4 linked regions of the Rhinolophus ferrumequinum genome follow. Each later gene encodes a partner of the first gene's protein in a complex. Links are inferred from orthologs where the notes say so. Each region holds a gene or a part of one and is shown on either strand. Other genes may lie near its edges. The genes, in order: CDK9, EAF1, CCNT1 and EAF2.

Region 1 (7,489 bases):
AGACCTGTGAAGCAAATCCTGCTATTGTCCCATTTCACAGATGAGGAAACTGAGGCTACAGAGGAACAGAGACTAGACAGACACCCAGGTGTCCTAGCTCCCAGGCTGGTGCCCCTCTCATCTCCAGGTTGTTGTTGGAAGAGGGAAAGGGGCCTGCGGCCTGGTGGTAGCTGCGGGTCTTCCTAGTGGGTCCCTGGCTTCTCTCCCAGGAGGCAGTCCCAGGGACTTGGCCCAACTGCTGAGGCTGTGGCATCAGCCAGCACCGACTTCCTGGCCAGGCTCACTCCCGACTTACTATGTGATCCTTCATAAGAGACTTTACTGCTCTGGGTCTGTTTCCTTATCTGTGAAATGGGTCACAGTAGCCCCCACTTCCGGAGGAATATGAAAGGAGCCTATGTACACTCTGGCCTCAGCAAGCCCTGGCAGTTGTTGCGGAAGAATAGGGGTGGTTCAGGCCAGGAAACCCCAGCATCAGGCACACGGCGTGAGCCCCGGGAATACCGGCCACAACGAGACTATATTGTGTGATGGAGGTGCCTTGTCAGCGCTGGGGGCCCTGCCATTGGCCCGGGTACCAGGGCAATTGCCACATCCCTGGGAGAATGAATGGGGCTCAGTGTGGAGGCTCTGCCCAGCTCAGAGCCCCCATTGTGCTGCCTCAAGTGGCCGTTAGGAGTGCGGCTGGGGGACCTGCTGGCGGTTGGCTGTCCCACAGGCCCTCCTCAGCCTGTGCTGGAGTCCAGCCCAGCCTTGCCCACGCTTGGCTCCGCAGCACTGAACACACAAGTGCTCTCCTGCCATCAGGCCTTTGCTTGGGCTGGACCCATACCTGGAGCGCAGCTCTTCCTTCCACCGGCTCCATCTTTTGCCTCCGTTGAGTCCCTCAAGTCTAGATTCAGCTACAGTGCCCCCAGGAACCCTGCTGTGATTTCTGTCCCCTCTCCTTGCCCTCTTCCCCAGTCTAAACTCAGTTGCCTGCAGTTGGGCCAGGCACCTATTAGGGACTGGAAGCCTTCAACTTCGTCGTCAAAGACTCAGGCAAACCTGAGTTCAGACCCCACCTGCATGATCTTGGGCAAGTCACATCAGCTCTCTGAGCTTCATTTTCCCCATCAGTAAAATGGGACAAATACCACATCTTCACACGATCCTGTGGCAATGAAATAAAACATTTATATGAGAGTATCATCCCTATTACGTTCTCCTGTGTCTTTCTTTGCATCTTCCAAACAGACCTTGTGCTCTGAGAGGAAGCAGCCTTACGCATCCACGTTGGCCCCACGCCTGCTGTACTGTGGGACTCAGTTGATGCCTCTCCCCAGCTTGCCCACTTGTCTGGTATTGGGGGCAGTGTAGGATAGTGATAAATGACCCCAGCCTTTGAGAGCAGAGGGACCTGGCTTTGAATTCCAGCTCCATAGCTTCCTGGCTGTGTGGCCTTGGGCACACTCTGAGCCTCAGTTTCTTTTTCTGTAACTTGGGCCTGATACTAGCAACCTCCTAATAGGGGTGCTGTAAAGTTCTAGGGGGACAACATATCAATACAGGTCCTGGCAGAGTCAGTACCCGTCTAGTGGGGACAGAATGTCCATGGTGTTACAGGGCTCTAGGTATCACACAGCCATTCTCTGTACCCCCCATTCAGGGATCCCTTGTCTCCTCAGACTTACCAGCAGCCAAGAGCACCCACCCCATGGGCCCATCTTCCTCATCCCTCCATACCCTCTCCACCCTGTCCCTGCTTGGGGGAGAAAATAAGAGGGTCCAGGCCAGTGGCTCCTTTTCCCATCCTGTGCCTCAGTTTCCCTGACTGTTAAATGGCAGCAGGACCACAGGCTCTCTCACAGCCTTGTAGTCAGTCAGCAAACATTTATTGAGTACTGGCCACACGTCCGGCCTGGCTAGCTTAGCCAATCCAGGGAAGCAGGAAGCATTTCCCTCAAAAGAGCGAATCAGAAATCCAAGTCAGTGAGAAATTGTTTCTGGCTCGCGCTTCATTTCTTCTCCCTTCCACCTGGGCAGCCTGGGCAGCTTTCTGACCACTCCTGCCTGCCCTCTTTCCCCAGGGAAGGCTGGAGACACAAGGCGCAGAGGGGAAGTGAAGTGACTGGTGAAATGTTGGGGTACAGGTCAAAGACAGTAGGGTGGAGGTGATGACACCACCGGAACTTCTGCTGAGGCTTCTGCCCACAGGATGTGACTTAGGGAGTATTCATGGGAAGTGGGCAGGGGCCCCGGTCTGAGAGACTGATGGTGGCACCCACACAAACCCATGATAGACCCCAATGCTGATATCCCCTCCTCCAGCTCCCATCAGCATCCAGGGCACTCATCCAGTGGTGCTGTGCCATGCCTGTGCTCCACCCCCCGTCCAGGTAGGTGGGGTCCTGACATGGGTACGTGCTGGGGCTTTGTGCCAGACTGGCCTGGCTCAAAATGCCAGTGTGGCCATTGGCCAGCTGTTTTACCCTGGCCAGGTGATGTCACCTCTGAGTTTCAGTGTCCTTATGTGTATAATGGAGGTGATAATAGTACTCAACTTATATGGCTGAGTGAGACTTGAGATAATACCCATAAAGTGCTAAGTGTACGGCTTGGACCATTTATTTTCCTTCAATAAATTGTAATTATCACAATTATTTTCTCCCTCCTTGCCCTCAGCACTCCCACTTTAGCCAATGGCCTCCCTGCTTCTAAGTGTACCCATGAAGCTGATCCCAGATCACTCCCTGGTATGTCACTCGACTACCTAAAACCCTCCTCGCCGGCTCCACACTGCCCTCAGGAGAGGGAGGGCTCCCTGCTCCTCACCGGACCCACAAGGCCCTCCCTGGCAGAGCCCTTGTCCAGAACAGGGCCTCTTGGGACACCATAATCAGCAGACCCACTCCTGCCTCCTCCTACAAGGAGGCTACAAGGCTAAGCATGTGGAGTAAGAGCTGGAGAGTTTCATGCAGATAGAGAGGTTCTGGGGTGCAATCAGGAAGCACAGCCCTAAAGACAGGAAGGCCTGGGGAGTTAGGAAACACAGGAGATTCGTGTGGCCTAGGAGGCGAGCTGGAAAGAACCTCAAATGTCACAATTTTTTTTCTTTAAGGGAGTGGAGGGAAATACCTGCAGACTCTATTTCAGAATGCTCTGGTGGGTACTGTGAGGGAGACAGATGGAGAAGCCGGACTGGGGAGGCCAGGACTCAAGATCCATGGGCAATGGAATGGAGAGGGGCAGATCGAAGGGGTACAGAGGAGGTAAAAGACAGCTTTTCTGGGGGTTGGTTGTTGAGTGGAGCTGGAGGAAGAATCGGGAGGCCCCCTGGAGCCAGGAAGATATCAGAAAGATGCTGGAGAAGGGCTGAGGCAGGGGAAGGGGGAATACGGCCAGGGAGGGAGACACTGGGTGAATGGCAGGCTTGGTGCCTGGCGTAAGGACAGCAGGCCTCAAACAGCACCACTGCTGTAGTCCTGGCCAGGACAGCCTGAGTCAGGAGAATCCCCTTCAGGCAGACCAGGTTCGAGTCCCAGCTTTGTCATTGTGTGACCTTGGGCAAATGACCTCACTTCTCTGAGCCTCAATGTCCTTTTCTGTAAAATGGGTTAGTGATCCTTACTATGACGCTGTTGATTCAGGATTCAGAGGAAACGCCCAGTACTTCCTGAGTACACAGAGGTACTGAGTAAATGCTATTTTTGTGATTACTGACCCAAGGCTCGCGCAGCTCGGCTGGGGCGGGGGTCCTCTAGGTTTCATCCCTGCCTCCCAGAGAACAGGGTCCAGCGCTAGAAGGCCCGGGCATTGCTTATTCGCCGCCTCCAGTGTTGCCGCGCCCCCTGGTGGCCGTCGGTTACCATGTCAACGGCGGGTGGCTGGGGCCCCGGGAGGCGGTGGCGGGGGCCGTTCTCTCCTCCCGGACCTTAGGCCGCTCCCTCGCTGCCTCCCGCCAGTGAGGGGGGGGGAATAGGCGCTCCCCGCGGCAGCTGGCATGTGGCGGTAAACTGAGGCACACGGCGAGGCGCCCCTCAGCCAGGTGTCGAGTGCGGGGCCCCACCTCCGAAGGCGTAGGAGGGGCCGCGGGCTGTGACGCGCCGAGGGCGGCCGGCGGACAGCCGGCGGGAGGCGGCGGCAGCGGCGGCGGCAGGTGCGGCCGCGGAGGACGGGAGGGCGGAGGGAGGGGGCGGGCGGAGGGGGAGGGGAGGGCGAGGCCCGGGCACCTCCCCCTTTATAACGCGCCCCCTCCCGGGCTCTCGGGCCGCCTCCTCGTCGGCTCTTCCCGTCTCGCCCCCTCGCCCGGCCGCCCCGGGCCCGGGCCCGGCCAGGGAGCCCCCCAGGCCGCGGCTTGGGGGCCGTCCCCCCGCCCGCCACCCCGCGCAGCCCGGCGGAGGCGGCGCCGTCGGAGGAGGAGGAGCAGGGCACTGCGGCTGGCCCGGGATCGGGCGCCAGAGCGGCAGCGGCTTCGGCAGCAGCGGCGGCCCGGGCCAATGCAGCGGGACGCACCGCCCCGAGCCCCAGCCCCGGCGCCCCGGCTCCCCGCGCCCCCAATCGGGGCCGCCGCCAGCAGTGGCGGCGGCGGAGGTGGGGGCAGCGGTGGCGGCGGAGGCGCCTCTGCAGCTCCGGTTCCTCCTGGCCTCCCGGGAACTACAAGTCCCAGGGGGCCTGGCGGCGGGCGGCGGGCGGAAGAGGCGGGGTCGGCGCCTCGAGGCCGGAAGTGGCCGTGGAGGCGGAAGTGGCGCGGCCGCGGAGGGGCCTGGAGCACGGCGGCGGGACCCGGAGCGGGAGCAGCGGCGGCGGCGGCGGCTGGGGGTGGCGGCGGCGCGCTAGAGGCGGCCATGGCAAAGCAGTACGACTCGGTGGAGTGCCCCTTTTGTGATGAGGTGACCAAATATGAGAAGCTCGCTAAGATCGGCCAAGGCACCTTTGGGTAAGGATGGGCCCCGAGGGACCCGGTGCCCTGGGCCTGCACCCCTCAGGGCCGACGTCGGGACGCCCGGGGCTGGGCCAGAGGTGGTCGGGGAGCCACTTGGCCCTAGAGTTATTCCCTGGTCTCGCTAGGCCGCACTGCAGTCCGCCGGGGCCTGATGGAGCTGGCTGGCGGGGAGGAGCCTGAGGCCCATGGTGGGGAACGGGCAGGAATTGCAGAGGAGCTTGTGAGGGGAGCAGGATCTCTCCGAGAGACGTCAGGCTGAGGAGAAGAGACTGGGGAGGAAGTAGAGGTTGGGAGAGGGACCGCAGATAGTAGGGTAGCCCACTGCCCTAGGTACCAGGCTCAGCCCTACACGGGAGTCTCTTTTCTGCCCTCCTCCTCTGGAGGGGGAGGGGCGAGCCATGTGAAAACGGCCTGATGAATCTTTTTGGGTCCCCCTTTCGGCCTGCAGGGAGGTGTTTAAGGCAAAGCACCGCTTGACCGGCCAAAAAGTGGCTCTGAAGAAGGTACTGATGGAGAACGAGAAGGAGGGGGTGAGTATGGGTCGGGTGGGCTAGCTGGCCAGCCATCTCCCCGGGGCATGTGGGTTTCCATCCTGCTGCTTCTAGGACTCACGTGTTGAAATTTAGTTTATGTGTAGTAGCTCGAGAATTTCCATAGCCCAGGAAATTTGACTTCCAAATTAAATCTTTCAGTTCAAATATTTTAAAGCATTTGGTATTTCATTCTTAGGCAAATACAAGGTTGGGGCCAGGAGGGGGAGCTCATGCTTGCACTGAATGCACTTGGGCTTGTGAAGTTGGAAAGCCTTTGTTAAAACACTTCCCTTAGAATTTAATTTTGTTCAGTGCAAAAGGAAAATACATGCAATGGCTTTAAAAGGGTGACTAGTACTCAACTGAAAAGGAGTCCCTCTCCCACCACATCTTAGCTCTAGTCCAGCTTTCAGAGATGTGCTTGTTAGCAAGGAACTTGAATGGTCATTTGTGTTACTACCCAGCAAGTTAAACACAGGCACAGAGCTAAAATTTAAAGGTTGAAGAAATTAGGGAGCGTTTAGTGACCAATAATGAAGTGGTTAAGTATCACTATTTCAATTCATTGTCTGAAAGCATCTTCTTGAGGAGTGCATACTACTTTACACCCATTTTACAGATAAGGCATCTGAGATAGCTGATTTCAGAGCCTGTGATCTTACTGTGTCTTCCCAACCTGTTCCCGTTAGTATAGACCCCATGGCCAGTTCCTTGATCTGCAGTGCGCTTTCACTTTTGACCTCCTTTCTTTATTCCACCCAGTTCCCCATTACCGCCCTGCGGGAAATCAAGATCCTGCAGCTTCTAAAACATGAGAATGTGGTCAACTTGATTGAGATCTGTCGAACCAAAGGTAAGTTGTTTGAATCTTGTTCCCATTTTCAAATGGAGAAAATGAGGCTTAGAACTTAAGGCTTTGTTTGCAAAGTTGGAACTGGACACACTTTTAACCCAGGCATACCTACCAACTGTGACTGCTTTCTCTGGTCCTTTCATCGTAGCTGGTGCTTTCCCAGGGTCCGCCACAGCACCTGGCCCAGAGGACTCACTCGGGAAATACTTTACCAGTGAAGGAACCCACAGATGGATTCTGGGTGTCAGTGGGTTGGAGGGGGGTAGGAGCTGGTTGTGGGAAAATGAGTGGTATATGGGATTTTTTATTTTCTTCTTCTTGCTCCTTCCCCATTCTTCCCACCTCAGCTTCCCCCTATAACCGCTGCAAAGGCAGTATATACCTGGTGTTTGACTTCTGCGAGCATGACCTTGCTGGGCTGCTGAGCAACGTCTTAGTCAAGTTCACACTGTCTGAGATCAAGAGGGTCATGCAGATGTTGCTCAATGGCCTCTACTACATCCACAGGAACAAGGTGGGGGAGGAGAGACCGAGGCTTGGTCTGCCTGTACTCCCACCGCTGGGTGGCGGGGCTAAAGGACCCTTGGGAACCTGACTGAGCCCTCACCTTTGCCCTTCTTGCAGATCCTGCACAGGGACATGAAGGCAGCTAACGTGCTCATCACCCGAGACGGGGTCCTGAAACTGGCAGACTTTGGACTGGCCCGGGCCTTCAGTCTCGCCAAGAACAGTCAGCCTAACCGCTATACTAACCGTGTGGTGACGCTCTGGTACCGGCCCCCAGAGCTGTTGCTCGGTGAGGACTCCCGAGTGGGCAGAAGGGGGCAGGGGCTAGGCACTTAACCTGGCCTCAGCCCCCCACTGCCAGGGCTTCTTGAGCCGCCGGCCCCCGGGCATTGCGTCTCAGGAGGCCCTCGGGCTCAAGGGGCACTCCTGGTGCACTCTTCTTCCCAGGGGAGCGGGACTACGGCCCCCCCATTGACCTGTGGGGTGCTGGGTGCATCATGGCGGAGATGTGGACCCGCAGCCCTATCATGCAGGGCAACACGGAGCAGCATCAGCTCGCCCTCATCAGCCAGCTCTGTGGCTCCATCACCCCTGAGGTGGGTGGCCAGGCTGCCTGGGCCTCTGGGCCCTGCAGGATGCAGAAGTCTCCCTGGCAGGGGAGGAGTGGGCAGT
Region 2 (7,708 bases), on another chromosome or scaffold:
GGGGGCTGAAGTCACAGGGATGCTCCCAACCTTTTGCAGGGGTTTCCACCAGAAATATCACCAGGCTGTCACAGAAAGGATGGTGTTCTTTCTGGTGCTGGACTTTGTCTTCTACTTCAAGGGAAAAAAGGTTTAACGTGCAGGGGAAAGGTCATTTGAGGCCTGTAGCCTTAGGGTACTGGTGGAATACCACTGCCACAAGCGAAGGGAACTACTCTGCCCCGACCTAGTCTTAACCTATCTGCAGGAAGAATGGCCTCAAGACCACAGAGGAGGACACTGGTGGATATCTCCCTAAAGCCGGGGGAGGGATGGGACAGAAAAGCACTATTCCTGGAGAGGCAGAGATACTTGTGAAGTCCACACCCCCGAGACACAGGCGGACTATGCAGTTCAAAACCCGATAATCAGAACATTAGAGAACAATCCCTTCTCCCATACTCTCCCACAAGTCTCCAGTGATAATAGTGGCCTGCAGCTGGAGAAGCTGCCAAGAGATAGACTCTTTATGGGGAAGAGCCCAAGGGGAAGATCCAAAGCTAAGGGGAGAGACAAAAACAGTCACCAGAGGAGACTGAAGTCTGTGGTACCCATAGCAGCAATAAACCTCACAGCTAACTATAGCAACAACAGACCTCAAACACAGCCCGACTATCTAGATTACAAATCCTTATTACCTCAGTATCAACTGCCCTATATAACATATCTAGCTCTCAACAACAACAAAAAAAAACCACGGCATACCAAAATACAATAAAAAAAGTCTGAAGGGAAAAAGCAATCATCACAACCAGACTCAAATATGACACAAACGATGGAATTTAAAAAGTTTGGGCATTTAAAATAACTGATTAATATGTTAAAGGCTCAAATAAAAAAGGTGGACTACATGCTAGATCAGATAGGTAATTTCAGCACAGAAAGAGAGACTACAAAAAGAATCAACTGGAAATGCTAAAAAATCAAAAACATAGTAACGGAAATGAAGAATGCTTTGACAGGCTCATTAATAGGAATGCCTATTGCCTATGAAGGAATCAATGAACTTGGTGACAGGGCAACAGAAATTATACAAACTGAAAATACAAAGAGAAAAGAAGTTTAAAAAAACAAAAAAGCAAAACAACATCCAAGAGTTGTGGTACAATAGCAAATGGTATAACATACATGTAATTGGAATCCTAGGGGAAGAGAGAATAGAGCTGAAGAAATATGTGAAAAAATAATGACAAAAATTTTTCCAAATTAATAAATATAAAAAGAATATGTGATTATATAACTCCTAAACAAGACATAAAACCTTAGCACCTCAAAAGGAACAGACTAATAAATTCAAATTTGATAATTTAAATCCTATCATAGAACAATATCATAAAACAATGTTGAATAAACTATACTTAATCCCAGTGCTTACAACACTCATTGGCACACATTAGGCTCCCAATAAATATATGTGGAATAAAGGAACTCACAAGCAGAAAAAAACCCAAACTAATGCTTATTTACATATTATAAAGACTTCAACTTCACTGGTTATAAGAAATAAACAAATTAAAATATGGAGACATTTTATTTTGCCCATAAGATTGGGAGAAATAAAGACTGACATCAAATGTTGAGGGCATAGAGAAAAAGTTATCTTTATGTTATTGGTGAAATTATAAATTGGTATAATATTCTGGAAGGAAACTGGGCATTATCTATTAAAATTTAAATATGTATACTCTTTCTCCGAGGAATTCTATTTCTTCCATTATTCACCATAGAGACACGTGTACACATGTTTTGTAGAGCACGTGCACAATGGTGATTACGTTAACCTTACTTATAAGAGCAGAAAGTTAGAAACAATTTAAATAAATATCAACAGGGTAATTGTTAAAATATGATATATCCATTCTACGGAATACTGCAGCAGGTAAATAAAATGTAGTAGACCTATATATACAAAGAGGAAACACTGCAAGACATAATGTAGAGTGAGAAAAGTTAAGTTACAGTACAATGTGACTGCACTATTAAAAAGTCTAACGGATGCCAAAAATGTGAAGGGCTGATGGAAAACTAGATATCTGCATGCTGCCAATAAAGGGTAAGTAGATCTTGATTAAATACAGCTATAAAAGATACCTGGGACTATTTGGGGAAATCTGAATTGAGTACTAATGGCATTAGGGGATTACAATTAGTTTTGTTAGATGTAAGTATTTTGTGGTCAGTTAGAGAAAACCCTTATTGAAGACGTATGCAGGCATATTTAGCAGTGAAGTGTCTGTAATTTACTTTAAAATGGTTCAGGAAAGAAAAAAGTCTATAAAACAAATGTGGAAAAATACTGGAAATCATTAAATCTGGGTATAAGTATATAGTGTCATTATGGTATTTCTACTTTTCTGAATAAAGCTGTTTCTATAATGTGTTATATATGTATGTAAACAGGAAAACTATAACATGTTTATGGTGATCACAGCTGCTTAGCTTCAGGGAGAGGTCTGGAATTGGACAAATGGGTATAGAGGGCAGGTCAAACAAGTCCAACAAAACAATCATAAAATACCAGGATGGTGCACCAACCTTGACATATTCAACTGCTCTTGGAGAAAAATCACAGGCATAAGCAAAGATATTCAGATCTTCTTCTAAAAGCGGGAATAGACAGTTCCCAACCCCACAGCCAGCTTCAAGCATAGTCAATTTCTGACCTTCAAACTGAGAAAAGAGAACTCAAAGTTAGAGGACACTATATTTGCATAATGAAGAAACAAATCAAATTAAAAGGTCCAGAACATGAAAGGTCTCTGCCTCCTGGAGCAGACAATAAACAAGTAAACTGATATCCAAAAGCTAATACAGATATCTCAATTTGTCATCCAACATGGGGCAATTTGGTGTGGAGAAAACAGGATAATGGCTAAGAGAACAGGCTCAGGGGTTAAACTGCTTGCATTCAATCCAGACTCCTTCCTTCACCCGTGTTCTATCATTGGACAAATCACTTAAATAACCTTTCCCTCAATTTTATCAATAAGGGGATAATACTAATGCCTACTTCACAGTTCTATTATAAGGCTTAAATTACAAAACACATGAAAAGTTCTAGAAAAGGGTCATGGTAAAGTGTTTATCATCATCATCATTAATGAATCTGAATCTGTCACTGAAGTCACTTTGTATAAATTTAATATTTACAACTTTCAGATTAGCTTTAAAGAAACAGAAATGCCCATTCAAGTTCTTTCTCCTACGTATTATACAACCCAGGAACTGCTAAAACTACTTGAGACCAAACAGAGTATTTCTAAGGTACAAAGCATTCTGACAGGCTTCATAAATTCTCTACCTCACACTTCCATAAAAATGCAAGAAAGCACTTCTCTTCTACATATTTTAAACGAAGAACAGCTCAAATAAGGTGTAACATTACCTCCCTACATGATCTGAGCTCCTGAAACTCTCGGGTGGTCCAGTGTCTATCTTTGAAGAAATTCGTACTATTTCTTTTGTAAAAAAGGTCCCAGTTCTTCTGAGCCTCTTTTTCCAGTTTTTGCTGTTTAAAGTCAGACACTAAAACTTGGTCTCTTTTCAGTTTCTCCTCTTCTTCAGAGCTGAGAATCCTTGCCTGAAGCCCTTCCCTTTGCAAAGATGCCATCTCTTGGGGAAATGGTAATGGAGTTAACACTGCTGAAGATGCTCCATCCCTGAATAATTTGAGGAATCCAAGCTGAATCTGCAGCTGCAGGCGGGGTTTTCTTAGATGTGGTTCCTCAGGCTGGGTTCAAGCCTCCGGGAGCATTTCTGCTTCGCAGGAAAAAGAATGAGATTTTGGTTAGTAATTTTAGAGCAGTTCTTTAAGATACTGAGTTAGTGGTTCTACAACATTCCTTTCACCCAAAAGTTCAATATACCAAACGTTTACTAGTGCTGACTCTACACAAAACCCTGCCCATTATAGGAGAGGTCACAAAGAAGAGCAAGACAAAGCGCCTACCTTCAGAGGACTTACGTTCATTGGCCCTGGACTCGCCTGCACCGAACACTAATTCAAACCAGACTAAGTCATCTATTATAATAAATCGGTTTAGTTTAGAAAAAGGATACTGCCAAGAACTCGTTGGGAAACCCTGGAGGGAAAATACTCATTAATTTTCGGTGCGCCTCTGAAAAGGGTGACTCTACAACCGCAACAGGTGCCTGAACTGGAGGAGGGTGGTTAACTGCCAGACAGAAGTGGGGGTCATGGTTTCCCAAGGATCGGAGACGCAGTTTTTTTCGGGGAAGATGGAACTACTACGTTCGGGTGGCCTGAATCTCTGATCGCACTCACAAGAAACTGCCTCAAACCAGCGGGGGAGTCGCTTTCCAGGCCTTCGCACCGCCATCACGGCGCGAAGGGAAGGAAGAGACTGCGTGACGCGCGGTGTAGGGTCATCTGTCTCGGGACACTCGGGATAAACCAGGCCGACCCGGCCGCCAGGGCCTGAGGAGAGCTGGCCAGGCCAGCTATCAGACGCGCGTTAATCTAGTCAGCGGCGCTCTGGGCGCACTGTCATCAGCTCCTAGACTCAACTGGAGGGGTACTTAGTGTCAGGCGCATTCAGCCCTCCGCCAGGCCCCTACCTCGGAAGCAGAATTTGGGAGCCGCCGCGCCAAACCCGCGTCTGAACTAACCAGCGCTGAGCAGCTCAGACTCCCGGCGGAATTCTATTGCTATGGCACCGCCCCCGCCACTTCCGCTACGAACCCAGAAGTCCCTCCCCGACGCCGGAAGTCCCGAGGCCTTGCTTCCTCAGGGGCTTCCCCCACCCCGACGCGGAGACTTGCTTCCGGCCCTGGGTGGGCGCCGGCGGCATTCCCGGTGCGCTCCGGAGCGGTGTCACGGGAGCACCGTACTCCCGGACGCCGGTGCCGGAAGCTCAGATCGCGGCCGTACTTGGGTAGCGCCGGGCCGGGCGCGAGGCCCGTGTGGGGCCATGAACGGGACCGTAAACCCGCTGCTGGACCGCGAGGAACACTGCCTGCGGCTGGGGGAGAGCTTCGAGAAGCGACCGCGAGCCTCCTTCCACACCATTCGCTGTAAGTCAGCGCTCTCCACGTGTCCCTTCGGCTTCCCCAGCCTCCCGGTGCCAACCTCGGATCCCTCCTCTCTTCCCTCGGCCCTCCACTGTACAGAGAAGCCCCTGCCTACGTCAGCTCCCTTCTCTCCTACCCCGGGTCCTCCAGGACCTCGATTTTCCCCTTTTGATCCTCCAGGACCTCGATGTCCCCCCTTTGGCCCCCAGCTTACTCTTCCCAAACCAGACCCTTCGTCACTGTCAACTATTCTTGTGTCTCAAGGTCCCAAACACTTGTTCCGAAGTCCATTGGCCCTTCTCTCTTTTCATGCCCCCACCCACCCTTCCTGCCAAACCCTCTTTGTTACCGAAAGAGTGTGACCCCACATCGGACTCCAGTGCTCCCTCGAATCCATCCCCCGCCCCTTCTGATGCCCCCACCCAGGTTCTCCACGTTTAAAGGACTCTTCCTGTTTGCTCGGGAGCCTCATCCTCTCCCTTCTATTCCATTCTCTTCTTCCCTGTTTTTCCTCAGCTTCCTTTCCTCGTCCGTCTTTACTCGGGGCACCCCGACAGGCTGCGCTTCATCCCCTCTTGCAGCCAAAGAATCCACATCCTCTCTGCGCCCCATCAGAGCGTTCCTCTTACAGCTTCCTGCACCTCGTTTGACTTTTGATGTCTTTTGAGGTCACTTCTACGACCCTGACTTTAACTCAGGCCCTGGTCCCTTGTGGATGAAGAATAAAATTAGCATTTGTGAGCCTGGAATAAGTTAAAGCTTGATCTATGTCTGGAGGCCGAAGAGAGTAGACACACAGACTATCGCAATCGCCATGAATGCTGGACCTTCCTTTTTCTACGGGATTATAGACTGTTGAGGAAGGAAGGGCACGTCTACTCTGTCCCGGGGGAAGATTGGCTTTTATGAGCTGACGGAGCATCCGTGATTCACAACTCCTGGTTTCCTGTCTCGGTAGTGCTAACGCTGGTTAAGACTTGTTTTTGTCAAAGGAGCTAATAGATGTGACTCAACACATTGCAAGAGGGCGTTAGATAATGATGTTCCATCTTTGTGTGGTGGCTCTGCCTTGCCATTACGATGATTCCTACTGGAAACATCAGCTCTCTTAGAGGGAAGATACTGGGAATGTGATAAGAGCTTCATTTCCTGAGCAGTTTACTAAGTTGATGTTTTAGCAAAGTGAAGGGCAATGTAGAATTTAAATGAGACACTTCACATATGCATCTGGCCTGCGTTTTGAGGCAGGTGTGTGTTACAATGGATGGAGTAAGATGGCCATTCATGTTGTACTTGAACTGCAATTCAGAAACATGGGCAGGACTAACCTGTGGAGACAGTTCAACCATCTACTCTGAACATCTGCAGGAGTATCTTTGTGTGGCACATCCTAATTTTGACAGTTCCTATGCAAAATGACATCAGCTTATATGATGCTGTGGCATTTCATGTAGAGTTTTACAATCACAGAATCTTATTAATATGCTGTTGCTTTTGAGCCTCACAACAACCCTAACAAAACACTTTATTGTGGATAATAAGCATTCATTTTCATCTGTCACTGGGGAGAAGGGAATATCTTTGTTTAATAAAGTGGTATGTAAATTCTAGATTTTTTTTCCCTTCAAAATAATCCAGTTGGGGGTTGGGAGGAAAAGTATATCAGGGTATAGATGAAACAAGATTGTCCCTGAGTTGGTAATTATTAAAGCTGGGTGATGATGGTACACCGAGTTTCGTTGTAATGTCTCTGCTTTTGTGAAGTTTTCCACAGTAAAATAGGTTTTTTTTAATATTCTAAATTATTTGTACTTTCTATTTATCTGAGTAATAAAAAAAAATATTTCTTAAATGAGCACACCCAGAAAGTCCTTAGTATAAGTAACCTGGTGGATAAATGCTATTTTTCCTTTCCCTTTAGATGATTTTAAGCCAGCATCTATAGATACTTCCTGTGAAGGAGAGCTTCAGGTTGGCAAAGGAGATGAAGTCACAATTACGCTGCCACATATCCCTGTGAGTTTATTCCATTGTTGTTGTCTTTTTAAATGTAGAATCACTGTGAATCCTCATATTTCATGTTATTACAATTTGAATTTCCTACTGTTTAAAACTTTCTAAAGTGCCAACAGAAGGAAAAAGGAGATTTGGGGTATAGCCTGGAGTGGAATTCATGCTTCCCAGGTGCTTGATTAAATATTATTCTTGTTGCCATTTTCCCCACACTCCCTTTCCCCCCATTTGCTACAAAGTAGACAAGGATCCTACCTGGGCACCTAGCCCCTCTTTTAGACATAGAGAAAAGCCCTAGGTGCCATGCTGATATATAGCAATGACAATTTAGGAGAGTGGGGCTGCCAAACCAAGAGTTAAGTTAAGGCGGGTAGGAGTAGGATTTACTTATTTCATATATCTGGCAGAGGGTGAAGTGTAGGCCGATCATTTCAGGCACGAACCAGAGGTTCAGAGCATTCAGCTAGTTGAACAATGCAGAACTTAGTTAAAAGCTGAACTGAGAACCTTTGCAGAGAGAGGCTTTTGTAAAGCCTTGCCCAAGGCAGCACTCTGATCACAAAGCCCGAAGGATTAGACAGAATTCTCTTAGCGAACATGTGTCATTCATTGCATGTCACAACCC
Region 3 (7,143 bases), on another chromosome or scaffold:
CCCATTAGAGTCCTTAGCATATCAGTTATTTTAAATTCCCAGTTTGATAATTCTAAAACTTCTGCCACATGTGAGTCTGGTTCTGATGCTTGCTTTGTTTCTTTAGACTGTATTTTTTGCCTTTTAGCATGCTTTGTAAATTTTTTTTAGAAAGTCAGACATGATATACTAGGTAAAAGCAACTGAGGTTTATCTTTATCTGGCTGGGAGTTAGGCTGTTTCTAGTTTGCTATAGCTGTAGGTGTCAGAGACTAAAATTTCCTCTGATGTCCTTATCTTTGGGTTTCTCTAGAAATTCCTTCTTAAATACTCTGAGCTTGCAGTTCTTTCAGATGTAATCCCATTATTACATAGGCCTACTGATGTGATGGTAAAATGGGGGAAAGTGTTCTGCAATCCTATTAGGTCTGTGTCTTTCAGTGAGCTTGTTTCCCTGGACTGTGTGACCTTCACAAATATTTGTCTTTTTTCCCCCCTTAGGTTAAACAAAGTTCGCAGCTGGAGTTGGTTGTTTTTTTCTCACACTGGTTAGGCTTTTAGTTTTCCTTGAGGGCAGGCCTTTGTTGAGAACTGAATGCTCTGGGTTTATTTTACAATGGCTACCTTTCCCCTTTACCTGCCAGAAGGTTGAGATTTTTCTTTAATCTTTATAGTAAGACCTGTGGTGCTCCTGCAGGTAAAACTCACAAAAATGTGGGGGACCTCTTAAGTCTAGGTCCCCAGAAGTGTTTTTAATCTCTCAGTCTAGTCCAATTTCAGTTTCTAGCGATTAGTTTATTGCCCTTTAAGTATCCCTATCAAGGGCTGGTTCCAGTATTTTTTGCTCCCCAGTAAGCCATGATTCTGTTCTGCCTGTTGCTCCGGTTTTTGTGGTAGCAGTTTGCCCTGTCACCTCAATTCTCTGATGAATCTAGGAAGGGTTGTTGATTTTCAGTTTGTTCAGCTTTTTTTCCCTTGGTTGTGAGAACAGGAGTGATGACTTCCAACCTGTTTACATGTCAAACTGGAAACCAGAAGTCCCTGTCAATTGTATCTGTATGGAGGAAATAGTATGTGATGGTGTGTTCATCTCTTCTCAATTTCATGATCAGTGACAGTCGCATTGGTAGCTTGAAATTGGTTTGGGAGATAGTACTATAGAAACTGGCAAATGCTATAGACAAAGGCTTGACTTGTTTTATTGATTGTCTAGAATTAAGGAAGTGATAGAGAAGTTAATTATGTAGATTAAGCTTAAAAGTGTATGGTGTGTAGCCATTACATTATCAATGGCACAAAAGATTGAAATATTCTTCCAGTGTTCAAAAACTATTATCCAATTCAGCAAAGATGTTGCTCAAGTCACTCTTAAATAAGTTCCAATATAAGTCTCATTGTTTTACTTTCATCTTATTAATGCAAAAGAAAATGTCAACCAACAGTCAAAGCTATACTCGTTTGTCAAATGCAATCATAGGTTGGTTCTTGATTTGAGTTTGGCAAAAACACACACACCATGGTCAATTTCAAGATATCAACATGACATCACTGAATGTGGAGTTGGGGATAGTTAGGAATAGCACACCATCTTTTTTCGTATTTTAATTTGGAGACTATAGGAATGTAGGGAGAAATTGTTTTAACAGTAGTAAATGGTAACGTTTAACATGACTGAAATATGACACACAAAATAAGATCAAACCATGAAATATAGTATAACCTTGTATTAGATTAGTCTAGGGAATAGGAAGAATAGCTTTATAGGTGTGATTTACAGAAAATGGAGTCCTATATAAACTAACAACAAAAAAATTCCTCTGGTTTAAGGTTTTGTCAACTGTTCCTTAAGGCAATGTGCCAGAAGGTTAGCATTGACAATAAACATGTACTGAACACCTACTATGTGCCAGATGGGTGTTCTGTCAGGACGCAGACATGACATTTAAGGTCACACAGCTAGTTAAAAGAATATCTGGGAGCGCACCTGAAACTAATAAAAAAAAAAAAATACTGTAACCTGTTTATGAAATTATAAAAAAAAAAAAAGAATATCTGGGAATTTTGAGGATATTATACTAAGTGAAATAAGCTGGTCAAAGAAAGACAAATACTGCATGATTCCACTTATATGAAGTATCTAAAGTAGTCTAACTTGTGGGAACAGAAAGTGGAATGGGGTTGTCAGGGCTGGGGGAGGGGGAAATGGGGACTTGTTCAGTGGGCACACAGTTTGTTTTGTAAAATGAAAAAGTTGTAAAGACCTGTTGCATAATACTGTGAATATAGTTGATACTACTGAATTGTACACTTATAAATGGTTAAGATGGTTAAAGAAAAATAGATGGGATTTGAATCCAGCCCTGACTCAAAAACTCATGTTTAGCAATTATTTTATCACTGCTGTTATCACTACTTTCAAATAATTTCATCTTCAAAGAACCTTTCCTTTCTCTGATTTACACAGGTCCTCCTCTTCTGTATGGCAGGGTAACAAGCCAATGGTTTGCAGATGCAGTGCCTGAAGCCTTACAGACGCGACAACTTTTTCTTGGAAGACTGGCAGACTGAGCTTGGATAGCAAATTCAAAATGCAGTTATCAATCCAAGAGATTACGTGGAGAACCAAACACAGGTCAGGGAGACAGGCAAGAGCGGATCTAGGAGAAATAATTTTGGCTTTTAAAAGATAACACACATGACTACATAACTGTAAAAAATGTTTATTAAAAGAAAAAAGTCTGATGGAAGAAGTTTGAAGTCATACTTTTTTTTAATGTTATAACTTGATGTGAGTAATTTACACCTTCCTGAATCTCAATTTTTCTAGACTAAAATGGAGCTTAGGCTATCTGTAGGCAGTATATGGCAGAGGAGGGCCTGAAATGGAAGGAAATGCTTCTGAGAATGAATTATAATCAAACTTACTGTGTGGAGGCACCCATATCTAGAAATGATGACACTCAACGTATTATAAAAAAACAAATGATTCTATGACCCATATTTAATCAAGGTAAATTGAGTGTTCCAGAAAAGAATATAGTTTGCTGGACTAGAAAGAATAAAATTAGACTTGTTTTTAAAATCTACACTTATAAGCTGTGCATGTAGGGCAAACTACTTAATTTCTCTGAGCCTCAATTTCTTTATTGTAGGGTATTTTGAGCATTTCACATTTATTAATTAGTAGGGCCAGGCCTGTACTAGGCAGGTGCCAAGGATACAAAAATGAAGGAGGCACTGTCCTTGTTCTCAACATTAATATAATGTAGTAACTACTATAACATCTACTAAATGTTTTCTATGTGCAAGTTACTATGATATACTTTTAACTCAAATCATTTAAAATCCTTCCCACAATCTAAGACATAGGTACTATTATCATTTACATTGTACAAGAGGCACAGAGAAGTCTTGCGCAGGATCACACAGCCATCAAGCGTTGGGACTGCGCTACATCCTGACAGAGGACAGGAACTTACAAAATTGTGCGTGTGCATGATGGTGCAGCGTGGTGTGCAAGCTTTCCACACCGAAGGAGCGGTTTTAGCTCACCCGTTCGCAAACAGGGATTAAAACATTACTACCTCTTGAGGTTGCGCCGATTAAATGCGATCGTATGTTTAAGAGCCAGTATTGCGCCTGGAACACGGTAAGCACTAAGTTAATACTATTCATTTCATTTTATTCCTTCATTGGACCACTGTGGCGAAGCCAAAAATGCTCTCCAGGCTTTAGCTACATACCGGCTTTTCATATGCGTCATTTACCTGACTACCAACAATGTGAGAGCCTTCTAGTTGCTTTACATTACGCTACACGATAGGGCCCCTCTCTTTGATTACTTTTTTCAGTTTTTGAGTCTCACCTATTTTCTCCTGTCAAGTTCTCCGCTGCCCCATTTTAGATCGCCCCCTCCGCCAAAAACGAAATTCTCGGAGGAGCCGCGGCGCGGCGCGTGGGCGGGCGCCTCAAGCCGCCACCAACATTGCCTCACCCACTAACCCAAGGCGCGAACGCTCAACCCAGTTCACGCGAGAGGAGACGTGGTTTTGAACGAGAACTTCCAACCTCACCCTGCCTCCCAAGGGTCACATGACTGGCGCCTGCGTCCTCGACCCAAGGTCTTTCCTGGTCGCTGACTGGCTGTTTACTCGACTACAAGCTGTCGCGAGGTTCCTTCCGGAAGTAGACCCTTCAACTATACCCCTCGGCGGAAGCATGTCACAACCTAGCCGTCCACCTTTAGCGGAAGTTCGTCACGGCGCAGTTGCCGCCGCACAGCGGATGTGTGTCGCCGCTTAAGTGACGCTGGAAAGTGCTTGCAGCCTCCGCCGCTGCTTTCTGGTTGAAGCACTATGGAGGAAGAGAGGAAGAACAAACGGTGGTATTTTACTCGAGAACAGCTGGAAAATAGCCCATCCCGTCGTTTTGGTCTAGACGCAGATAAAGAGCTTTCTTATCGTCAGCAGGCGGCCAATCTGCTTCAGGACATGGGGCAACGTCTTTACGTGTATCCTTGCGGCCTAGGCCTTTGGCTTTGGAGTCAGTCCCGCTTTGCCCTCGCCTCCAGGACTCAGGTTCTGTTAAGGATGGTAGGGGGAAGAGGGGGGGCAGGGGCTAGATGTCTAGGTGAGAGAGCCTACGATGGGGCGGGCTGAAGTTCACAGTGTCCGCGCGAGGGTGGCGAGGCGGAGTTAATTTCCCGCTCGCTCACCGGGGCCACCAGCCTTTCCGGGAATTCGTATCCTTCCAGGCTTTGTGTTTTAACTGGCCCTTCTTAGACCGTTTTCAGTGTGCTCTGATCTCCTGTGCTGGTGACTTTGAAATTCTGCTTTTCTCTGATGCCCTAGGTGTCTGCTGGAGGTTTCATCGTTGATAGTTGCCTCTTGAACTTAGCGTGTGCAAAGAGTTTTGAGAAATTCAGTATCTGAAGGTCTTACGAAGGGTGGCCTAGAATTAATGTCCAGCTTTGGTTCAAAATCCGTTCTTCCCACTTACTGTTTAAGAAACCTGTCGAATTCTTGGTTTTCTCATCTTTAAGTGATACCTCTTGAGTTTAATTTCTATGCCCAACACACTGCTTGGCACTCAAGTTCAAGTAGTAGCTACTGTTAGAGGTTTACAGACTTTCAGAGGAAGGAGGAATGTCAGTTTAGATTTTAGGGATGTAGGCCTACAGATCTACTGGTTTGAAAAACTGTTGCAAAATACTGGGTTTTTAAAATACTCAGAATGCTAATGTATTCGTTTTTCTCATTTCAAAGGTGAGGTAGGAGGTGTGATAAAAAAATATGGTGAATGTTTAAAAAAAATGTATTACAGTAAAAGACACATTGCCATTAATCGCCCTCAAAATACTCTCCCTCGCTTTGGACACTTATCCCATCGTTCTTGCCATTTACAGTTCTGAAAGTCCTCTTTCCTGAGTGTCTGTAGTTGCACTGTCGTGGCTGCCTCGATGTCCTGAGTCGATTTAAAATGTTTTTTGTTTTTTTTCATGGTCATTTTGACTTTGGGGAAGAGCCAGAAGTCACACGGTGCCAGATTCAGTGAATAAGATGGATGAAGACACACCATAATGTTTTTATTTGACAGAAATTGCCATACCATAAGTGATGTGTGACATGGAGCATTGTCATAATGGAGGATGAAATAAAGACACCCACGAAAGAGGACTTCCAGAACTGCTTCAGAAAGTGGCAAGAACAATGGGATAAGTGTGTTCAAAGTGAGGGGGAGTGTTTTGAGGGGGATTCATGGCAATGTGTCTTTTACTGTAGTACATTTTTTTAATTTAAACATTCGCTGTATCTTTTGATCACACCTCATAATTTGGTGATTCTTCCCCCTCCGAGCATTTTTTGTTTTTGTTCTTCATTTCATGTTTATTATCAGTGCTGGAATAGAGAATATTTTATAATGATTAATGACGTGGTTACCAACAGTTTTTTCAAACACCAAGTGTCAGTATTTTTCTGGTAACTATCAATTTTCCCAAAACAAAATAACCAACGTAATACAATTTCAGTAGATGGTGATACCATCAGCATAATTCACCCAAATTACAATAATAGCAATACTTAAAATCATGCACATTATTTCACCATTTCATAAACATTATTTTTAAACTTCAACAAACTTTCCTAGTATAAAAAGACTCCTCAAAAACTTAATGATAACATTAAACTACAGAATACACTCTGGAAACGTAGGAAGTTGTTTTCAATTTTTGACTTTAAGATTCTTTTTTTAGTGATAAAAAATATGGTGTGTTTAGAGAGGTGGAGAAAAAGGAGCAAGAAGTTCATGGATTCAACATGTCTGAAAATACTTCAGTAATGTACAGGAAAAACTTCAAGAGCAAGAACATTATAAATAAAAGTTTTTCACCAAGGTGAACAGATGAGCAACTCTTGCATCAGTTGCACCCCAGAGGACAGGTCGTGAAGACCTGTTTACAGAATCTTCTGTAAGTTAGAGTTGGCCACCTCCAGTGATGCATCTTTTACTAGAATAATGTCGTGAGTCCATCTAATTTTCTAAAAGGTCATCCGCTCTGCCATTTAAATACCCAATTTTCAGAATGTGTTCAAGTTTGCCATTCTTAAGTCTCCTTGGGAGTCTCCCAAGCAGAATTATGTTACTGTTGTCTTTTAGTTGACTGGAATGTTCTGTGTTCTTCAAGGTACCATCATGTTTGCTAAATACATGAATTAGTTCTGTAAATCCTTTGGGCAACCCATTGTCATCAAAATCCACAAAGTTGGACGCTACTTAGACATTTGGATAGTAAACATCAGCTTGACAGATAATCTAGTGCATCACTGATACCAGCCAAAAGTAATGAACACAGGGATACTGTGTTGGAGCTTATCAGAGAAATTCTCATATCATTCTTGAGCATAGCATCAGATTCTGCCATAACTTCTTCAGGGTTTGGTAAAACCTGTTTGACAAGCAAACCATGTGATTTAATGTACCATTCTACCATATAAGGGTACTACTCTTCTATGGTAAGAACAGATCAATTTCAATAGCGTAATATTTTTCCTTGAGTTGCGGTAACTTTTTTCGACATTCGTCTGAAACCAGCGTACAGTTGTCAATGACATGACATGTTAGATATCTTTTCCCTTTGTAGGAAATTCTTGGTGTCAAGTCAAA
Region 4 (7,340 bases), on another chromosome or scaffold:
TATAAAAAAGTTTTAAGGTATTCAAAGATCAAAGATATCATATTTTTAAAAAAGTATACTCTTTACTTAGTAATAATTAACAAAAGCTAACATATATTAAGTGTTTACTATGAACTAAGCACTGTGCTAAGTACTTTTATAAGCATTACCATATTTAATCTTCACAACAGGACTACAAGGTAGAGCCTGTAATCATCTCCATTTTACAGATGAGAAAAATCAAGCTTGAAGAATTTAAACTGGACATGGTTCCACCATGATGTGGTAGAGTCAGCATTCAAATCCAGATCAGTCTAACTCCAAAGTCTGTGGTTTTAATTACAATGTTCCTAATATTCCTTCCCATGTAAAACATAAAAACCACAAAACATATTCCAAAATTACCTACTTCTAACTCACTTTTTTAACTATTATTCTTCGTAACTTCCCATCCTTTATATTGAAAAGTTGGCCATAATAAAAGACATCCAAAAAGCATCCCTTATTAGGTAAAATACAAATCATTAAAAAAAAAAAATCTGGAAATATTTTAAAGAAATCCCAGCACATCCTGGCACACAGCAGAGATAAAACTTTCCAAAGGTGTAGCTACAGAGGTATTTTATTCTTTCCGATGGCTGCATTATGCAATGCTTCCTTTGTAAGAGTACGTCAAAACACAGTAGTCCCCCCTTCCTTATCCGCAGTTTCACCTTCCATGGTTTCAGTTACCCACAGTCAACCATGTTCCAAAAATATTAAATAGAAAATTCCAGAAATAAACAATTCATAATTTTTAAGTTGCAACACCATTCTGAGTAGCATAATGAATTCTTATACTGTCCCTCTCCCTCTTGCTCTGGATGTAATCATCCCTTTTGTCCAGAGTCTCCATGCTTCCTGCCCGTCAGTCACTTACTAGTAGCCTATTCAGTGATTAGATTGACCGGCATGGTACTGCAGTGCTTGTGTTCAAGTAACCTTTATTTTACTTAATAATGGCCCCAAAGCACAAGAGTGGTGATGTTGGCCAATTGAGATATGTCCAAGAGAAGCTGTAAAGTGCTTCCTTTAAGTGAAAAGATGAGTACAGTACAGTAAAATGTTTTGAGAGACCACATTCATATAACATTACAATACATTGTTATAATTGTTCTATTTTATTATTAGTTATTGTTAATCTCTTATTGTACTTAATTTATACATTAAACTTTATCATAGGTATGTATGTATAGGAAAAAATATAGTATACCTATTTAGGGTTCAGCACTATCTATGGTTGCAGGCATACATGGAGGGTCTTGGAATACATCCCCCATCGATAAGGGGAGACTACTGTATATGTAAACATCCTCTCTATTGTAAGTTATTCAGAGTGTATGCTATGATAAACAATGATGCAACGAACAGCAATGTAAAATGTCCTTATGCACACATGCTAGTACTCTGTAGGATCAATTTTCCTGAAAGGTGGATGGCTGGGTTGCAAGATACATATTTTTTAAATTTTGATATGATCCCAAATTTTTCTTCAAAATGGGTGTCCCGATTTATACTTCCACCGATAATGTACAAGGGTGCTCACTTACTATACCTTTACTAATACATCATTATCTTTTATATTTTTGCCAATTTGCTAGATGAAAAATGGTATTATCTTTTTAAATCTGTATTCATTTATTAGGAAGGTTAGGCACATTTCATATCCACTGCTATTTCTTCTTTTATGTATCTTCTGTTTGTATCCCTCAACTACTTTTCTATTGACTTGTCTTATTCTTTTGCAGAAGCTTTAAGAACACTTTATCTTTTATATTGACTGTAAGCCACTTTCTTCTTGTCTGCCATTTATTTTTCAAAGTTTGATTATGGTGCCTACACCATAGTTTTACAATTTTTATGTAGGCAAGTATAACAATCTTCCCCTCTATGGCTTCTGCCATTGGTGTCATGCTTAGAAAGGTCCTACTTACCTCAAGAGCTAAAATTTATTCTCCTAATTTTTCCTAGTGTTTTATGGTTCTGTTTTATTTATATCTTATTTAACTTATATCTTTATTTATGTCTTCAATACACTTGTAAGATATTTTTGTGAATGGTGTAAGATAGGAATCTAAAATTTTTAAGTTAGATGAGGTTATAGATTAGTGAAAAAAGAACAAATGCACATAGCTGTCATAAATTCCTGAGGTAATTAATGATGAATAGATATAACAGAAGCAATCTGAAGTGCCACCTGGGTATATTTTTGGATTCTATTTAGTTCATTAATCTATTTGCTTATTCCTAGGCTAGTACACATTTTAATACATGTTTGAAAAAGTTCACACTAAAAGGTAAGCTTCATGAAGGCGAAACTCAGACTACCCTTGATGGCTGCCTTCTTCTCTCTGGTTCACTGCTATATCCCCATAGGCTAGACTAGTGCCTGCATACGGTAGGTAGGTACTTAATAAATATATGTTGAAAAAAATGAATAAATGTACAAACTTTGGGTATTCCTAAACTCAATTTCTTGACCTTCTGCTCTTCTTCTTGTTATAAAATGTAAACCACAGATTTCTGGTAGGAAGCCTTGTTTAGGTAAAATAGGCTTAAAACATTGTCCTTGCCTTCTGGGTACCACAATAAAACATCACTGAAACATTATTATCATCACCAAACATGTGTGGAGCACTATGGTAGATGCAATGGTCACAAAGATTTTATATAGGACACACTCCCTGTTAATGGTCTGGTTGGGAAGGAAAAGTATACACACACACAAATATGTATATGTAAAATAAAATACTTAATTATACAAAATATGTTAGGCCAAATAGATGACACAGAAGTTAAGACTACAGACCATAGAGTCAGAGGATTGGGCTTCCTTGAACCAGTTTTCTCATCTGTAAAGTAAACAAAAAAGCAATTCCTACTTCCTAGATAATAGAATAATTCAAGATTTAGAATAAAAGGCAGGCACCAAGGATGGTCCTAAAATGTTGCATGACAGTAGAGTTAAAACTCAAGAATAATAACCATTTGGAGAGCTTTTATTATATGCCATGAATTGTTTTAAATGCTTTTATGTATTAACTCATTTAATTCAACGACTCTAAGGTGTAAGTACTATTATTATTTCCCTTCCAATTACAACTGATGAGCATACTTAACTTTGGTTTGCACAATGTCATACTATAAAATATGAAGCGGGAGTTCAAACCCAAAGATTCTTGCTCCAGAATCTGAGCGCTTAACTGCCCCATGAAACACCCTTAGTACGCCTTAAAAGGGTCGAATTTGAACAAGCAGGTTACGGGAGACACATTCATCTACCTGCCTGGAATAAATTGGTAAGTTTGGCTAAAGTAGAAGTTCAGTAAGGGAGAAGAGTTTGATTACATAATTATGCTGAAAAACAACCACCCGTTATGGTAACCATTTGTAAACTTCCTTTAGAGTGACTGTCCTCTGATACAACACTTCTCTCATCTTTACCATTAAACTCATGAATTTTTGACAGGAAAAAAATACAATTATTTTTCAATTACTAATACTATTACCCTGTTTTCCAGAGCACGAGCTCCGGCCTTGATACTTTGGGAATCTGGTCTTCTGGCCGTGTAGTTACTGCTTCCACGGATCACTGTGAAAGAAAGAAATAAGACAACACAATGCAATCTAGTTGCAACTGATCCTAAACATGTGAAGTTCGTAACTTCTAATCTTTTTTGCCCCACCCTCCACGTGCCCTGACCTTGTCGGTCCTAATAGTACCTGGAACTTCCCCTAGAACAGGTCTGAAAACGATTGCCTAGGTAACGGCGTCACCTTCCAGGCAGGTCCAAAGACCCAGGCTCTGAGGCCGCGGGGCTCCTGTACTCCGGATTCTAGGCCCAGCTTTGGCGCTACCAGGCCTTGGACCCAGAATCCGCTCCTCCCCCGGCCTCAGTTTCCACACTAGATCTCCACAGAAAGCGTGAAGTAGGCCGATTCTCCCGGTAAGAGCTCCTACATTCCAGGTCACTTGGCCCAGAGGTGCGGGATCCCGGCCTCTTGGTACCTCGAGGCCGTCTCAGTCCCCAGCCACCACCTCAGGTCCGTTACCTCATTCTCGCACAGCGTTCCTCCACCAAGGAACCCTTCTCCCACCACGCACCTCAGTTGCGCGGCGTTCTCCCCGCGGCCAGCGTCGCAACGCGGGAAGGGGCGTGGAGGCGGGACCACGAGCTCGGAGCCAAGGGGCGGGGCGTCCTTCTCCAGCCAGCCAATCAGCACGCGAGAGGCGCCCGGTGGGGGAGCGCGCGTTGGGCGGCGGGGCGGAGTCTGTCGTAGCTCCGCCCGCTGCTGCTAATGCAGCTGGTTTAGGCTGAGGTGGCAGAAGGTAGGGAGCGCTAGTTGACGGAGGAAGAGTCGGAGGCGAAATCGGAGCCGAAGGATAACCATGAATGGACCCTGGCATATCGACAGTCGCGAGCGGGTTCTCAAGTTAGGCGCCAGTTTTGAGAAGCAACCGCGCTGCGCCTTCCACACTGTGCGCTGTGAGTGTGGACATCCCGGTGGAAAAGGGGGAGCTCTGGGTGTGGGTGTGTGGAGGCACAAAAGTCTCCGAGTTGTATTCCCATCGACCCACCTTATTCTGCGGGAGAATAGGGTCCCCAGCGCGATCCACTACCGGACCTGGAGTCCTAGGGGGTCGATGGAAAAAGCCGGAGTTGAGCAGGTGTGGGTAAAACCCTGACAGAGAGATATAAGTGAAACCAGCAGGAAGAAAGGGAAACTTTGTGGAGATCTCCAAGGGTGACTGAAGACAGTAGTAACTGATGGATGATGCAGAGGTGGAAAGGAAAATAGTAAGGTGCCAAATGGAAGGGAGCAAAGGACGGAGCCGTTATGCAGGGGAAAGGAAATGCCTTGAGGCTGATGGGGAAATAGTGTCTCCTTCACTTTTTCTGTGTCTGGCTAATGAGGGTTCTTACTTAGCGCGTTCCTAGGGAGAGATTCTAAACTATTTCAATAATCTGTATCTCTTTTGGACCCCTGATTTCACTCAGTAAATTAGCAAATATTGATTATCAAAGTATTGGAGGGTGTGTTATTGATTTCCTTATTGGAAAGATATTTACCTCCCTATGATTTCTCCCTTTGATTTCCTTTTGGTCGTCCTCTGGAATGAGTTTTGATAAATTATGCACTTTTATGTTGTTGAGGTAGAAAAGGGAGGTCTTTTGCTTTAATGGTTGGATGGTATACACTACAGGAAGGAAAAGTATAGCATATTATGATTTGGTATGTAAAACATTCATTCTTTGCATGATAGCCCTCATAAAATTATAGAGTGGAAAGGAAACTTTGAGATCATTGAATCATAACCTATTTTTTCTATGGCAAAATTAGTAAAGTAAGTATTTTTTCACTTTCTTTCACCAGTTCTGCCCTTCCTTAGTGTCTCATCATTCCACTTTTCTTACAGTTATTCTGTCCTCAGACCGTATACAGGTCTTTATTGTTTTATCCTGAAGTATTCCATGCGTCAACTGAAACTTACAACCCCCAAAAGTTTACTTAAGTTCTAGACAATCTAATTATAGTAACTCACAGTAAAGGTATGAAGAACCAATAGATTTCTAACATTCCAAGGATGTCCCAGAGGTTCCAAAAAAATTTATACAAGTGGACAAGTTGTTCAACGTTGCTCAAGCAGAACTTCGCCATAATCAGAAGTGACTGGATGGTGATGGTAACCACTTTGAGCACCTCTTGTAATTGCAGAAGTCACACGTGACTTGTATTCATCTTTTGTTATCAGTATAAAGTATTACAATTTTAATAGTTTTCCTTTCTTAAAATGTGTATACATTTTTTGGCACCCTCTGTATTTACATTTTATAAAGGGATTTATTAAGCAAAATTAATATCCAATTGATAGAATAAATGGAGGAGATATTTGCAAGCAGAAGATCTTAAACAGTGACCCTTGATTATTCTTTTTCTCTCTACTCTGTTGTCCAAAGCTCCCCATAGTGAGATACCTAGTGCTGGCTATGCAGTTTCTTTCCTTCTTCAGTCCCATTTTATAAAAGTGTATTATAGTTCTTAGCTGGTTTCTCCCTGCCTTTCTCTCAAATATTATCTCCTCTCCTCTTTCTTTTTTTTTTTTTAATCAGGTATGCAGTAGTCTTAATTTTTCAAATTACAAGGTTTAAGATTATAAAAATTTGCTCAAAATATGTTTTTATGTAACTTGGGTATATACTCTCTTTAAGGCCATGAACCCCAAATTAAGTGAATAAAAGGAGCCTTTGAAAAGCACTTTGCAGGTGCTTTAGAGCTTTTCATTTATAAAAGTTCTCAAAATGCAGGAATTGTGTCTTCAGAATCAGATGATCCATCTACAAGAATGAAAATAAACAAAAATAAAACAATAACAACCACAATAAACCCAGATCTTTGAATATACTCTTAGTCCTGTGGAAGACATTAGAACAGTTTTCAGCCCTTAGTTTTATTCTTGTTGAAGCAGGCAAACTCTTTTTAGATTTATTTAAACAAAACCAGCCATTATTCTTGATAATAGGTTCATTTCTCATATCCTCACTCTTAAGGATGCAGTGAGGGAAAGAAACTATAGAATGGGAGATCTGACTTTGATACAGAGCAGGTGCATAAACGTCAGTGTAATCTGGGAGAAAGGAACATTCTGTCTTTATGTACAGGGGTAATTATACCAGTCCAATATGCTGAGGCTTTGGAAAAACTTGTGAGTTCTGGCCTCTACTATACATGTAATGTAACTTTGGGAACATTCTCTAAGCCCTCAGCCTCGGGTTTTTTAATATGTAAAATGATAATATTAATATCTAAATTTCAGGGTCTTTTAAGGATTAAATAAAGTAGCATAAACAACCTAGCACATTATTTGGTGCATGGCAGAAAATAAATAGTAGGAACCATTATTCTTGAAGGTTTATTCATGTGTCTATTAGGAATGCCAATTAATGTAATTTACTAAGACTTTCAAAAGCATTTATCAGGCCTTAGCAATAAAACCTATCAAAAAAATAATCTGCATGTGGTAAGGAAGACATGGGATGTTCTGTAAATGATAAGCTAAATGCTTTGCAGCAGATGTTTCACTGGGTAGAAGAGTTTGAGTAACAGGACTCACCGAATAAATTTTGGATTTGGGCTAGTACTAGTTTTACAATTTATATCCAGATAAGGGAATAAACATTGAAATTTCTAAATTTTGTAAATGATACCACTTTTTGCTGTCACAAAATGATGAGTTCATGGGCATTAACTATACGGAGATGGTCTGAGGCATCAAGTGCAGCCACTCCCCCCAAAAAACGGTTGTTAAGCTTTGGTGTTAG

The links.
Region 2: CDK9 (region 1) and EAF1 share a complex: the UniProt entries of both Homo sapiens proteins name them as parts of the super elongation complex. The link is inferred for Rhinolophus ferrumequinum from reciprocal best matches to the Homo sapiens genes CDK9 and EAF1.
Region 3: the proteins of CDK9 (region 1) and CCNT1 are in contact, whole or in part, in a crystal structure (PDB 3BLH), measured with the Homo sapiens proteins. The link is inferred for Rhinolophus ferrumequinum from reciprocal best matches to the Homo sapiens genes CDK9 and CCNT1. Residues at the interface, in NP_001252.1 of Homo sapiens: Val8, Glu9, Cys10, Pro11, Phe12, Cys13, Lys56, Glu57, Gly58, Phe59, Ile61, Leu64, Ile67, Lys68, Gln71, Leu72, Leu81, Ile82, Glu83, Ile84, Arg86, Ile99; in NP_001231.2 of Homo sapiens: Arg5, Lys6, Arg11, Trp12, Arg26, Ile72, Gln73, Phe78, Phe89, Leu90, Lys93, Val94, Pro98, Lys99, Lys100, Leu101, Val134, Glu137, Ile139, Leu141, Gln142, Thr143, Gly145, Phe146, Glu147, Leu148, Thr149.
Region 4: CDK9 (region 1) and EAF2 share a complex: the UniProt entries of both Homo sapiens proteins name them as parts of the super elongation complex. The link is inferred for Rhinolophus ferrumequinum from reciprocal best matches to the Homo sapiens genes CDK9 and EAF2.

Annotation. Positions count from the first base shown.
Region 1 is NC_046295.1:76,825,711-76,833,199, forward strand, and holds the start of CDK9 (cyclin-dependent kinase 9), read left to right. Parts: upstream 1-4,476; 5' UTR 4,477-4,478; coding exon 4,479-4,918; intron 4,919-5,372; coding exon 5,373-5,454; intron 5,455-6,219; coding exon 6,220-6,310; intron 6,311-6,657; coding exon 6,658-6,824; intron 6,825-6,934; coding exon 6,935-7,106; intron 7,107-7,264; coding exon 7,265-7,413; intron 7,414-7,489. Other genes in the region: SH2D3C (SH2 domain-containing protein 3C), read right to left, coding at 3,704-3,750. UniProt on the Homo sapiens protein: Protein kinase involved in the regulation of transcription.
Region 2 is NC_046300.1:31,205,267-31,212,974, reverse strand, and holds the start of EAF1 (ELL-associated factor 1), read left to right. Parts: upstream 1-4,694; 5' UTR 4,695-4,709; coding exon 4,710-5,073; intron 5,074-6,991; coding exon 6,992-7,086; intron 7,087-7,708. Other genes in the region: tRNA N(3)-methylcytidine methyltransferase METTL6, read right to left, coding at 2,575-2,709, 3,425-3,649. UniProt on the Homo sapiens protein: Acts as a transcriptional transactivator of ELL and ELL2 elongation activities.
Region 3 is NC_046293.1:49,873,147-49,880,289, reverse strand, and holds the start of CCNT1 (cyclin-T1), read left to right. Parts: upstream 1-4,124; 5' UTR 4,125-4,334; coding exon 4,335-4,489; intron 4,490-6,434; exon of another isoform or gene 6,435-6,518; intron 6,519-6,687; exon of another isoform or gene 6,688-7,143. UniProt on the Homo sapiens protein: Regulatory subunit of the cyclin-dependent kinase pair (CDK9/cyclin-T1) complex, also called positive transcription elongation factor B (P-TEFb), which facilitates the transition from abortive to productive elongation by phosphorylating the CTD (C-terminal domain) of the large subunit of RNA polymerase II (RNA Pol II).
Region 4 is NC_046285.1:46,766,012-46,773,351, forward strand, and holds the start of EAF2 (ELL-associated factor 2), read left to right. Parts: upstream 1-4,332; 5' UTR 4,333-4,408; coding exon 4,409-4,505; intron 4,506-7,340. UniProt on the Homo sapiens protein: Acts as a transcriptional transactivator of TCEA1 elongation activity. Acts as a transcriptional transactivator of ELL and ELL2 elongation activities. Potent inducer of apoptosis in prostatic and non-prostatic cell lines.